Linked DNA regions of Arabidopsis thaliana. The protein of the gene in region 1 purifies or fractionates together with the protein of each later gene. This does not show direct contact. Each region holds a gene or a part of one and is shown on either strand. Other genes may lie near its edges. The genes, in order: CYCB2;4 and AT2G28330.

What was found.
Region 2: the proteins of CYCB2;4 (region 1) and AT2G28330 purify together in Arabidopsis thaliana (affinity purification with mass spectrometry, with the first as the bait; one large-scale study listed by BioGRID). This does not show direct contact.

The regions. Positions count from the first base shown.
Region 1 is NC_003070.9:28,627,383-28,633,895, reverse strand, and holds CYCB2;4 (CYCLIN B2;4), read left to right. Parts: upstream 1-3,349; 5' UTR 3,350-3,537; intron 3,538-3,681; 5' UTR 3,682-3,696; coding exon 3,697-3,754; intron 3,755-3,843; coding exon 3,844-3,967; intron 3,968-4,056; coding exon 4,057-4,116; intron 4,117-4,193; coding exon 4,194-4,242; intron 4,243-4,332; coding exon 4,333-4,464; intron 4,465-4,547; coding exon 4,548-4,691; intron 4,692-4,769; coding exon 4,770-4,859; intron 4,860-4,954; coding exon 4,955-5,362; coding exon of another isoform or gene 5,363-5,401; exon of another isoform or gene 5,402-5,418; intron 5,419-5,444; coding exon 5,445-5,623; coding exon of another isoform or gene 5,624-5,627; exon of another isoform or gene 5,628-5,714; coding exon 5,715-5,850; 3' UTR 5,851-6,093; downstream 6,094-6,513. Other genes in the region: FRS4 (FAR1-related sequence 4), read right to left, coding at 10-147, 254-310, 489-2,492.
Region 2 is NC_003071.7:12,097,547-12,103,975, forward strand, and holds AT2G28330 (uncharacterized protein), read right to left. Parts: upstream 3,212-6,429; 5' UTR 3,078-3,211; coding exon 2,613-3,077; 3' UTR 2,196-2,612; downstream 1-2,195. Other genes in the region: AT2G28320 (Pleckstrin homology (PH) and lipid-binding START domains-containing protein), read left to right, coding at 1-254, 327-390, 506-702, 790-891, 976-1,026, 1,117-1,260, 1,349-1,444, 1,575-1,676 and 1 more; GATA13 (GATA transcription factor 13), read left to right, coding at 6,126-6,371. UniProt on the Arabidopsis thaliana protein: Probable cyclin-dependent protein kinase (CDK) inhibitor that functions as a repressor of mitosis in the endoreduplication cell cycle.

The DNA.
Region 1 (6,513 bases):
TTACCGAGTTCACCCAGGGGGATTGTTCTGGTGCATATTTGTAGCCGGAATGTTTTGGAAGTTCGTGTTAATTAAGTTTTGGAATACTCCTGGCATTGTGTTGTGAAATTGCCCTGCCAATACCGCCTGTGACTGTCTTGGATCAGCCTGTAATTGACAACGATCAGAACACTTAACCATATGAAACGTACAAGTTCACCAAATGTCACTGAGTGGTTTGCATTCGGGATGCAGATAGAAAAATCAAACATACCACATGTTGAAATCCTTCTTGGCTTCCCTCACCAACAGTTTCAGATTGAGCCACATGCTGCACAAGTGAAGAAAGATCAATCATAAACAAAGTTACGCATCACATCATCAGGCTATGACAGCTTAGCAGAGATGGTTGTTTGTCTTTTGGCCATATGTATGATATTATAGCCTATTGAGTACCCATAAAAGATTAATCGATGATTTTGACAGCATAGTAGAAAATGCTAGTGAACCTTTGCCTTTTTAGATGTATTGTTTAGGCTACTTCTCTTCTCCCTTCTGGTTTCAGCTTGCCATGGAACATTGCCTGCATGTATGTTAGGTTCGGGTCCAATCTGTGTCGATGTGGATCCATATTGATTTTCTTCCTGGACAGGATCTCCTGCTTGAATTGCAGCTTCTTCACACCTGGCGGGATGTTTGATGGTATTAATCGTAACAGCACATTGCTTAAAAGCTTCTTTCATTGCAAACATGGCGATGTCATAACTTTCTTGGGATAGAGATCCTTCTTCTCCCAATATAATGGCTCGGCGGCATAGATCATTGAAACGGCGGATATTAGACTGCACAAGTTCAAGGTTTCTGCTGATCTGATGTCTGTTTCTAGCTGCATTTGTCCATCTTTGCAACACATAGTTTATCGGAATGGTGAAAACACCCGACATTTGGAGGACAACAATTGCGTGTCTACAGAGATATCCCTTGTACTCAAAGGAACGGCAAGAGCAGTAAATATCTGACTTAAATTCATCCCAATCCACCAAATACTTCTGTTCGTCGTCAAAGTCCTTAACACTGTAAGTTGTTCCTTCCTCACTCTCCTTCGTAAGGTGACAAGCAGCAGCACCCAGAACCTCAAGTTGGAATCTCCTGAATATTTCATGGGAGTATACAAGTAACATCTGCTTCTCAAAAGGTGATGGAGATTTCAACTCAGGTGCTTCATGCCAAGCATCAAAATCTGCTTTAGCTTCCTCTTCATACCTATCTTCTAGCATTAGCCCATATCCTTCTAAGAACTCCTTAAGTGAGGTTTCAGGGTGAACATACCTATCAAACAAAGAATTCACACTTTCTGAACGACAACGCATAGATAACCCCGCAAATGTTATTCCCCTCATAAAAGTAGGTGCCCAGAACTTACGTTCCTCATACAAAGACCGCATCCACGGAACATCTCTAAGATGAAACTTGTCTATCAGCTTCAACCACCTCCTATCGAATTCCTCCTCAGACCATGACCTGTATATACATTTGAACAACTTCTTCATAAAAGTGTCTTGCCACATACTCCAATAGTCCAGATTCCTAGGAAGCTGGTCCAACACATGCCACAAGCAATAACAATGGCGAGTTTCCGGTAAAACCGCAGCGATTGCAGCTTTAATAGCATTGTTTTGGTCAGTAAGCATAACTTTAGGTTTTTGACCACCCATAGCCACTAACCAAGATTGCATCAACCAAACATAAGTGTAAACAGTATCATCTGCAAGCAATCCACACCCAAGCAACACAGGTTGTACATGATGATTAACTCCAACAAAAAGAACTAGTGGTACTTTATACTTACTCACGAAATAAGACGTCTCAAAAGAAACCACATCACTGAAACTTTTGTAATCTTCAATCCCTTTAGCATCAACCCAGAACACATTCCTCAGAAGATGATCTTCACTGAAATCAACAGCGAAAAAAAACTTGGGATTCTCTTCTTGCATACGCATAAGAAACTCAAGCAAAATCTCTGCATCACCAGTATCAAGAACAAGTCTCCGTCCTTTATCATGTTGATTCCTCATATAACCATCTATAAAATCAAGATCATGATAAGCACTGAGATGTTTACAATCAGTCAACGGAGTGTTCTTCTTCCTCCTGAGACGAGAATCGTTGGATTTCACAAGCTCTGTGTTTCTATGGCTCCGGAAATAATGAGCTTGCTCTGGTAAAAGATCGTGATTATGCTCCTTGACGAAACTGTAAACGTACCATTTCCCATCTGGTCTTCGTTTTACATGCATACTTGCTTTGCATCCGATCTTAGGAGAAGCTCTAGGGTTTATCGCGTCATCGGATTGTTGTTTGCTTCCGTAGCGTATGCAGGAGAATTTGGCATCGATGAATTCCTTTGAAGCTCTTGATCTTCGGCTGCTTAATTTCGCAGTTCCGAAACCAACGGACTTGGCGTAGTCTTTGTAGAACAAATACGCATCTTCGTGAGTCTCGAACTCCATTTGAGAAGCTTGATGAATCCACACCAAAATTTCGATACAGATCGGTGACTATAACATGAGAAATCGATTGAGTAACATAAATCACGAATCACAGAACTGATTCATCTTCACCGGAATTGTTTTTGAAAGATCCGGAGAAACTCTGAGGAGAGTATAACATTCGACGAGAAGTTGAAAGAGACTTGCGATTGCAAATCTGATGATATATTGGGCCTAACTCTCTAATCAGGATATTGGGCCGTATTGGGTAATTCAGTTTGTACTTTGACTTATTTTCAACCTTTTTGGAAAATGTGTTGACTAACAAAGCTACTGGAGAAAAAGATGTAAAGAGGAAAAAGCAAAAAGGCGAAGAGCCGTTAGTCTAAGGTTTAAAGATTTAAATCATCTACTAGCTTGAGTATTAAAAATCAGAATCGGGTAAAATTAAAATTTATCAGATTGGGTTAATAATAATGTGGTCTAAGTTTTGTTTTTTGTTTTGGGGTCAAATCGACTGGTATTAATATTTAGATTGGCTTAATAATGAGGAAGCGGTTGGTGGTCGGTGACATTGAAATAAAACATTGACCATTGGACCTTTGAGACTTGAGCGTGGTAGTAATAAGTAATAACGAAGAAAATAAGCCAAATTTGAAAAACGCACATGGTTACAAATATAGCCGTTGGGCTCCTATTCTCTTTTTCCATTAGGTTTTTTTTCTGAGGTTGTATCCAACGGTTAAGATTAACTAGCCGTTGATTCTAAAAAGGGGAAAAAAAGATAACGATTCGTAAAACAACATTTTTTTTTTGGTGTGTTGCAGACATATATCCGCTCTTCACGTCTTCGAAATCTTTGATTACTCTCTCTACAGTCTCTTTTACCACTTTTTCTTCAATTTTGTTTTCGTTGTGAGAGAAAGAAGATAAAGAGAGAGACTCTTGAAGATCATTGAAGAGAGCCAGAGGTTGATTTGTGTTTGCTGTTATGGGATTTTGCTTCTGAGTTCTGACAGAGAGATAGAGATAGAGAGAGGTTAATAGTTTCGTTGAAAGCTTCAAGGTAAATACTTTAGTGTTGATTTCATATGGGTTTAAGAGAGTACATCTTGTTCTTGATCGTCGAGTCTTTTAGATTCTCAAATCGGATTCAAGACCCAATTTTTAATTCGGATTGTTAATATGCGAGTGTTTCTGCGATTCTCAGATACGGAAGATAATAATGGGTGGATCGGATGAGAACAGACACGGAGTCATTGGACCGATGAATCGACAACAAGGTAGATCAGAATTAAAAACAAGAAGACCCATTTAATCAAAAATCAATCTTTTGTTTGATTAACTAAAAAGATGATTTTGCCAATGTTAGGGGGTTTACGTGGAGGAAAGGTAATTCCGACGAATGGACAGACAAGAAGGGCACTGAGTAATATAAACAAGAACATCATCGGAGCTCCGGTCTATCCTTGTGCTGTCAAGAGACCATTCACTGAGTAATTATATTTTTATTACTTTCTTCTTTCAATGATCCTTTAATAAAAACGTTGCATAGACTTATCTTAGTAACCAATTGTTTTCTCAGGAAAAATGGGATTTGTAACAAGAAGATTCCACCTGTTCCAGTGCATCGACCAGTTACTAGGTGAGTGATTTCATTTGATTTCTGCTTCGATTTCAAAATTGTAGTATGAGTTTGTTTAATTCTTTATTTAATTTCAGGAAATTTGCTGCTCAATTAGCTGAGAACAATCTCCAAATCCACAAGGAGGTACCTTTATATTGATTCTATCTGAATTTAGTATTTGAAAACATGACATGGTTTAGGTTGTCTAATTCCAAGTGGTTTTTTTGTGGTTAGGAAACCAAGAAACCAGACTTGATTTCAAACGAAGCATTAGATAGAATCATAACAGATGTGGAAGAAGGAGACTTTAATGAACCAATGTTTGTTCAACATACTGAAGCAATGCTTGAAGAGATTGACAAAATGGTAATAATAATAACATGTTTTATTTAAGCCACTATTTTTTGTTGGTTACTCGGATGAAGAAACCTGTTGTCTTTATTCTGCAGGAAGGGATTGAAATGCAAGATTCAAATGATATTGATGCTGAAGTAGAAGAGTCTGTGATGGATATAGACAGCTGTGACAAGAACAATCCTTTATCTGTAGTTGAATACATTAATGACATATATTGCTTCTACAAGAAAAATGAGGTAACTTTTAGTGTTCTGTTTCTGTATCATTATGATCATTCTAGCTTCAAGATTGAAACTTTTTCAATTATTTTGCAGTGTCGTAGCTGTGTCCCGCCTAACTACATGGAGAATCAACATGACATTAACGAGAGGATGAGAGGAATCCTTTTTGATTGGTTGATTGAGGTATATATATATACACACACAAAAACATGAACATAAAATTGCTCTGTTGTTGGTAGTTGTCTCACTGTAAAGCTTACTGTGAATCTTTGTTGCAGGTACATTACAAGTTTGAGCTGATGGAGGAGACGCTTTACCTGACAATCAATCTCATTGACAGATTTCTTGCGGTTCATCAACATATCGCGAGGAAAAAGCTTCAGCTTGTGGGTGTAACAGCTATGTTACTTGCTTGCAAATATGAAGAAGTTTCAGTTCCAGTTGTTGATGATCTAATCCTGATCTCTGACAAGGCTTATACTAGGACAGAGATTCTTGATATGGTAAAATCCTTCACTAAATCTTGTCCTGATTATAACCATGGATGCTCTGCTTTATATGTGGATGATCATTATTGTGTCTTGCAGGAGAAGTTAATGGCGAATACCTTGCAATTCAATTTCTGTCTGCCAACTCCATATGTGTTCATGAGACGGTTTCTCAAAGCTGCACAATCTGACAAAAAGGTTTGTGTAACTTTGATGATAATCTTCTGTCTTATGTGATATATAAAGAATCAAAACATGATCATAAGGTTTGGTTTTTCAGCTTGAGCTTTTATCATTCTTCATGATCGAGCTTTGTTTAGTGGAGTACGAGATGCTTCAGTACACTCCTTCTCAGTTGGCTGCATCGGCGATCTACACTGCTCAGAGCACACTTAAAGGATACGAGGATTGGAGCAAAACCAGTGAGTTCCACTCAGGCTACACCGAAGAAGCGCTTCTGTAAGAACATCAAAACTAAGTAGCTTTTTCTACTGATATAATTTGGAATTTCTAAAAGTGTTGTTGAGTTTTGATGATCAATCTCTCACAGGGAATGTTCGAGAAAGATGGTTGGTTTGCATCACAAGGCAGGGACAGGGAAGCTAACAGGTGTTCACAGGAAATACAACACATCCAAATTTGGTTATGCTGCAAGAATTGAACCAGCTGGGTTTCTTCTGCTGTGATTCAACTGTTAAAATTAGGTCACACGGAATCTATAATGACTTGACCTAATTTTATCACTGAAGAGAGAGCAACATAAGTTGCATCATATGGGGGGGAAGTTTCTGAACACGTACGTATCTCTGTGTGGGTTCACTTGTTTGTTTTCGAAATATCTGTGGATGGTTTAGTCTTCTCATTTTCGTTGATAAGAGAATAACAGAAAGCGTTTTTTAAAACTCTTAACTTTTTAGGGTTCTTCATTTCAACATATTTTTCCGCTCTTCTTTCCAAATGTCCAAGTCATATCTTATCACTCACAATCACAAGTTCACAACATTTGTCGCGAAAATAAATTAGGCTTCTGGTTTTGTGGACATAATCACTTTGATCTCTTGACTTGGTCGTTCAAGTCGCTAAATTTCTTGAAAAAAACAAGAACCAGTCGATTTTACAACTACCTATGCTGAAGCCGCTCGGGCCGCGGTCCAGTCATGGTGGCCGAAACTAAACCATGAAATCGCGGTTGCCGCTTTTTACCATTACCTATGTCGAATGTTTTATTTCCTACTACAACTCAAGTGTCTTCTCCGTTTTTATCCGACCATCTTTATCAGATTAATAAACGAATGAATATAATAAATGGATAAAAACGACCGCTTTTAGAAAACCATCATTTTATGATT
Region 2 (6,429 bases), on another chromosome or scaffold:
CTCCTAATCTGTCGTCAGGGGAGTTGTCAAGAAGTGCAAGATTGACTCAGAACGAAGATGGTGTGTTTGGTGATTCTTCCCTGAGGGAAAACGAAATGTTTAAGGACACTGCAAATGAAGAGAGAGACAAATTTCCCTCAGAGCGCTCTAGCCTTGTAGACTTGGATGAGTTTTTCGACGTTCCAGAACCATCAGATAATGACAATTTGGATGACAGCTGGACCTCAGATTTTGATTTGGATACATGCTGTCAGGTAGCAACATCAGACAGGACTTTAATTTGCTCGGAAAGATAACAGTTCTGATTTTCTGTTTGCCGACTGCAGGAATCCCGCCAGCCAAAACTAAATAGCGCTACGAGCTTAGTGAAAAAATTACACGATCTTGCAGGTGATCCTAAGTTTCATGGAGAAATTCTGCTCTTATTAGTTGTGTCTTCTCATTCTGTTTTCTTCTTCTCTAGTTTCACCTGTCTTTTAATGGTTATAATTTTTTTCTCGAGCAGTTCAAAAGAGGGGTTATGTTGACCTGCATGAGAGGGCGAAGGAAGAGAGCAGCCCACATGCTACCTGCAACCCGCCTTGCTGCTATGGAACCACGCTTCCAACTGATCCTAGTTGTGATTTGCCTTGTAGTTGGACAACAACGGACCCATCTACTTTTCTCATTCGAGGAAAAACTTATCTTGATGACCAGAAGAAGGTAAAGAAAAGCTCATAACTTGTGCTTGAATATATCAATATGTATAATATTACTCAATTTGTAAACATTCTCTTGTGGTGGATCCAGGTCAAGGCAAAGGGTACACTGATGGAAATGGTAGCTGCAGACTGGCTAAAATCTGACAAGCGGGAAGATGATTTGGGGTCCCGTCCAGGAGGCATAGTTCAGGTTTTGATTATTATTGTTTGTTCTGATAGTTATTAGCCCCTCTCTTACTTTTTATAAGAAGTCTTACAAGTTTTTAAAATGCAGAAATATGCAGCAAAAGGTGGACCAGAGTTCTTTTTCATCGTGAATATACAGGTAAGAGGACACTCCTGTGACCAATGTTTTTTTATTCAGCTTTTCCATGTGTCCGTAAAAGAATCAATTAGTTGTTCGATGGAATAATAGGTTCCTGGATCAACAACGTACAGCCTTGTGCTTTATTACATGATGAGCACTCCTATTGAAGAGCATCCTTTGCTAGTTAGCTTTGTTAATGGTGATGACGCATATAGGAATTCAAGGTTCAAGCTCATTCCCTACATATCCAAGGTTGGCGTAAAAGATTACCTCTATTTAGTTTTATTATTTGTCTGTCCAATGCATTCATACCTGACTTTTGGTTTGGCGATATTTTCAGGGCTCTTGGATAGTTAAGCAAAGTGTGGGAAAGAAAGCATGCCTTATTGGTCAAGCCCTGGAGATCAACTACTTCAGGGGAAAGAACTATATTGAGGTAACACAGTAAGGATTGATGCTAGATCCTAACAGGAATTAGTATCTATCTACCACAACAGTGTGACTTTTCACGTTTGAGCCACGCATTGTTAGAAAATCTTATTTTTTTGTACACCTGTTATTTTCAGCTGGGCGTTGATATTGGGTCATCAACTGTTGCAAGAGGAGTTGTGAGTCTTGTTCTTGGTTACCTCAACAAACTCGTGATTGAAATGGCCTTCTTAATACAGGTAAACTAATTACCAATCTTTCCTGGTTTAAATCTAAGTCAACTTCGGTGGGTATTCTGGTTACATATTGAAGCATTGGATTTGAGTGAGCAATTTCTTCTTTGTGCAGGCGAATACCGAAGAGGAGCTCCCAGAATATCTTCTTGGAACATGTCGGTTTAACCATCTCGACGCTTCCAAAGCAATTTCAATTATTCCATGAAAGACCAAGCAAAGATCAAAAGTTCAGATAAACTATTCTTTGAAATTCTATTGAATGTGTGGTAGACACAGTTAGGCGCTTCTTATGCAACAACTCCATTGATAAGATCTTGGTGATACTGCTGAAGTCCTTTGTATAGACCTATAGACTTAGTTCTTTTATATATTAAACACAGATTTATTTGTTACAACTCCATGTTAAGCATTGATTTTCTAGCTTCAGTACTTTCTGAGTTTCGGTTTTGGCTTCCACCATCACCCAAATGCACACGAAAGACTGGTCTAAATGGACGAAACCCTGCACTATTTGCTTCATAGCTCCGATTTGCCTGATCTATGCACAACCTTATCCCACAACAAAGTTTCACTTGTAGAGCAAAGATATTGATTCAGTGGTAACCTTCTACAAACACCAATCAATAAAGGAGCACACCCAACAAAGCTCTGACATATCAACAAAGATAATACCTCTAAAGATTCCTTACCATACATAAGTTCTTAGGAAACATGAACATGATAAATTACAGACAAGAAAGAAAGAACAGAAACTGAATGTCTCCAACAACAACAACTAGCTTTAGCTAGCAATTACACATAAAAAGCCTAACAAGACTGTACAAACAAAAGTCAAATCACAAGAGCCATAAGAGTTTAAAAAACCCCTAAATCTCTTATAGCTTACTACAACACAACGACAAGTCATGTCAGTTTAACTCCATGTCAGATACTCAAGACTCAGAAGAGTTTTCTTCTTAATCCAGAATCAATATTCCTAGATATCTTAGTGAGCTTCATAGGAGCTCCAGGACAAGTATCACTAACCATATTCGAATCGAGATTCCGAGACGAAGGAGGCGGTGTTTTACAACCATCAAAACACCAAATCTCAGGAACAACAGCTACACTTTGAATCTGCTGCAATGAGAGAATAACTCTCAACAGATTCTGATAAAGAGACTCTATAATTTCGTCATCAGATACCAAAACACAATCCGAGATCGAAGCAGAATCAATCCTCTGTTTACACAGTGGAGACAAAGTGACGATTCCTCTGTCTTTCTCTGTAACTATTTCTTCTTCCGAAAGAGAAGAATCGGAATCAATGGCAGGAATCGAATCTGGGACATTAGGGTTTGGTGTTTTCGGCTCTATCGAAGAAGAAGCTGTTTCTTTCGCTTCACATGGTTCTTCTTGCTCCATTTGGATTCACGAGATCTAAGCAGAGAATAAAAATCGAATCTAATAACAAACGTATCTAAATTTAGTGAATTTTTTTGCAGAGGGTAAAGGACGAGGAAGAAGAAGAAGAGAGTGACGGCTCTTGCTTTTGGTTTGCGCCATTTTTTAGGGATTTTTGGTATTTATAATATTACTGGAAAATGAGAAAGATAAAATTAAGTGAATCTTAGCCGTTTGATTGTTTTCGATTTCAGATCTGACGGTTATCCGTTAACATCCATTTCTTAAAGAGACTTTGGAGTTCTCGCCTATGACGGACAACTGATTTGTGTTTGTTGTGTCCGGTTCTTATTTTTTTCTCAGGAGAAAAATTTTCAAGTAAAATTTGAGGATCGGTAAAATGGACACGTATACAAAAATGTTATAAGGAAATCAATTCTTGTTAAATTAAAAAAAAAAATTTGAAAAATAATCTTGTTTTGAGAACAAAAGAATCTATTTGAAACAAAATAAATGGATACACAAAAAAAAAAAGATTTAACCTCATTTGTAAACTCAAAATCGATTTGAGATTTATCTAGAAACAATGTAGTTGGCAGAAGTTGGATTTATTGAAAGTTGGAAGTTGGAACCATATGATGAGATTCGACATTACAAAGAAACAATTCAATTCTTCTTAATTTGTTTAATTTATTGGTGATCGCATCAGATTAGATATATCTCAAGTCGATTTTGAATTTTTATAAAGAGTAAATCTCCTTTTTGGCCATCTTTATTTATCTAAAAATATTTGGGTTCACCTTTAGCAGTGAATCATTTATTCATCTCTCCTTTTCTAACTAATCAAAATCTAAACCTAATAAAAATTTAAAATCTAATATGCCACTAAAATCTGTTTGAAGTTACAAAAGACGGTGAAGTTTAGGTATTACAATTAATTGAAGTTAAATATTTGTATAAATTTATAACGGATTTAAATTTAACAATTAAACGAGGTTAAATGTTAATTTGTGTTTGTAAAAAACGATTAGGGTTTAGATTTTACAATTAAATAAGATTAAATATCGTTTTAGGTTTATAAAAAAAGATTAAGGTTCAGATTTTGTAATTAAATGAGATTATATGTCGGTTTGGGTAAATTAATTAATATATATATATATATATTTTGTTGGACAAATAGATATTTTTTTAACAACATAACAATTCAGGTATTTTTGGCAAATATTTAATAAGCAGTTTTTTAAAGGATTTTTCTGTAAATAAAGTGAACACCGTTTGAAGATTTGGTTAACGCCATTAACAACCGTTACGGAAATGAAGGAACTCAGAAGAAATAAAAAACACAATCTATTTTTTTTTCCTGGCGAAATTAGTTTGTGCATTTTCTAATAACCAAAAAGTGTGATAGTTTTCTGGTAGTGAATTATAACCCCCAATTGTAATTTCTTAAACTCTTACAAATAAAATCTCATATCATAGTTAATTTCAAGGTAAATGTTTCATTTAATTAAAGAATACTAATTTATTATATTTCTAAATTATAAAATACTATGATTCAAACAACAATAAAAAGAAGTAAGTTAAAAAATTACTAAATTTCTGTTGAGTTTCTTAGATATATTGTAATTTTTTATTATCACTTATACATATTGTGATGAAATTTGATTAGCTTATAATATTTTTGAACCTAAATCATTAGTGAAAATATCAATGTTACAGATAAGTTTTGATAATAATAGCTGTATTTTGTTTCTTTTTGTTTTTCCTCTGATAAGAAATAATAGGTATATATTAAAAACTTGTATGAAATACAGAAAAAGTTTTGTATAAAATCTTTTTTTTAATTAATTGCTTAATATATATATCCTTTGAATAGAAATCCCACCATTAATCTTTGTCCAATTTAGAATGACAGAAGTTATTTCCTTTCATACATATAAAATGATTTGCAAATTTTATAATATAAAATTTAGAAATTCATTTTTCCCAAACAAGGTTTATTAGTAAAGATGACATACTGCAAATTCCATGTAGATTACCACACATTGGTTATCTCTCTCTCTCTCTCTATTTCATGTTCTGTGTAAAATCCCTAAATCTCCAGTTTCGGACAAATTACTCTCTCTTTCTCTCTCTCTCTCTTTTTCCTCGTTCGTGCTTGGGAATGTGTTCTGTGTAGTCAGCTGCGTTCTCGGAAGGTTCGTGTGTCTTTATCTCACCCTCTTCTTTTCCTTCTTCAAATGGAGATTTTTTGTTTTTAGTTTTTATTATGAGACAATAATACAACTGTAAGAAGAAGATGATTTGTTCTTTGTTTCGATTCTTCTTATCTCGTGATACATATGTAAGAAGAACATGATCTGTTCTTTGTTTTGATTCTTCTTATCTGGCGTTTTGTTGTTTAGTTGTGTGCCCTAAAATGTTAAAGGGAGATTGTTCTTATGATTTCTCGAGATGAGATTGAATTCAATGATGAAATGAATATTTTTTTAAAAAATGAAGAAATTTTCTATGTTTCTTACCTTAAATTTCTCAGCAATATCTGTAAGAATAAATTAAAAATTATAGAGAAATATTGACTCAAAATGAATCTTTTTCAATTTATGTTCTGGTACGTGATTGAGTCAATATATTGAGTGAGCTAATGGTAATTGAATATAGTCATACTTCATATTTTAGGTATACTCATTTGACCAAACAGTTCTTAATTAATTGTTATTAGTGAATTCACGGGTTTATGTCAATTTTCGCATTCTTATTCAGTTGAAATCTCTGAAAATGATATTTGCTAGTTGTTACTTGACTTGGCTTTCTTGCTTTTATATGTTTATGTTGTTTACTTTTGAGTCAACATATTAAGTGAGCTAATGGAAACTGTAGTCTTCATATTTTATGTTTATTCTCACTCAACGAGACCGTTGTTATTAATCAATTCACGAGTTGATGTCGATTTTCGCATTTATATTCAATTGAAATCTCTGAAACTTAGCTTTGCTTTCTTACTCTTATACCATATGTTTATGTTTTTTTCTATATCTTGTCTATGATTTTTTGTACAGTGGGTGACAAATGAATAACGATTTGTGGTTACCTGAAGAGGACTTCAAGGGTCTACCGGATAATTTCCTTGATAATCTCGTTGATCCTACCAATGATGTTTCTGTAGAAGATATAGAGACCGGCGATGATGAGGGAGATTGGGATGCCAAATTTCAAAAGCTCGTACCTCCACCATTGGATGAGCTAATGAGTTTGTCCTATGAGTTCACTTGCAATGGACAGCGTGTGCAAGTTCAGAAGCATGTGCCAATTTTGGTGAGTTCTTAAGCTTGTATATACATTTATTTATGCATCTCACTTGATAGAGTCTCTA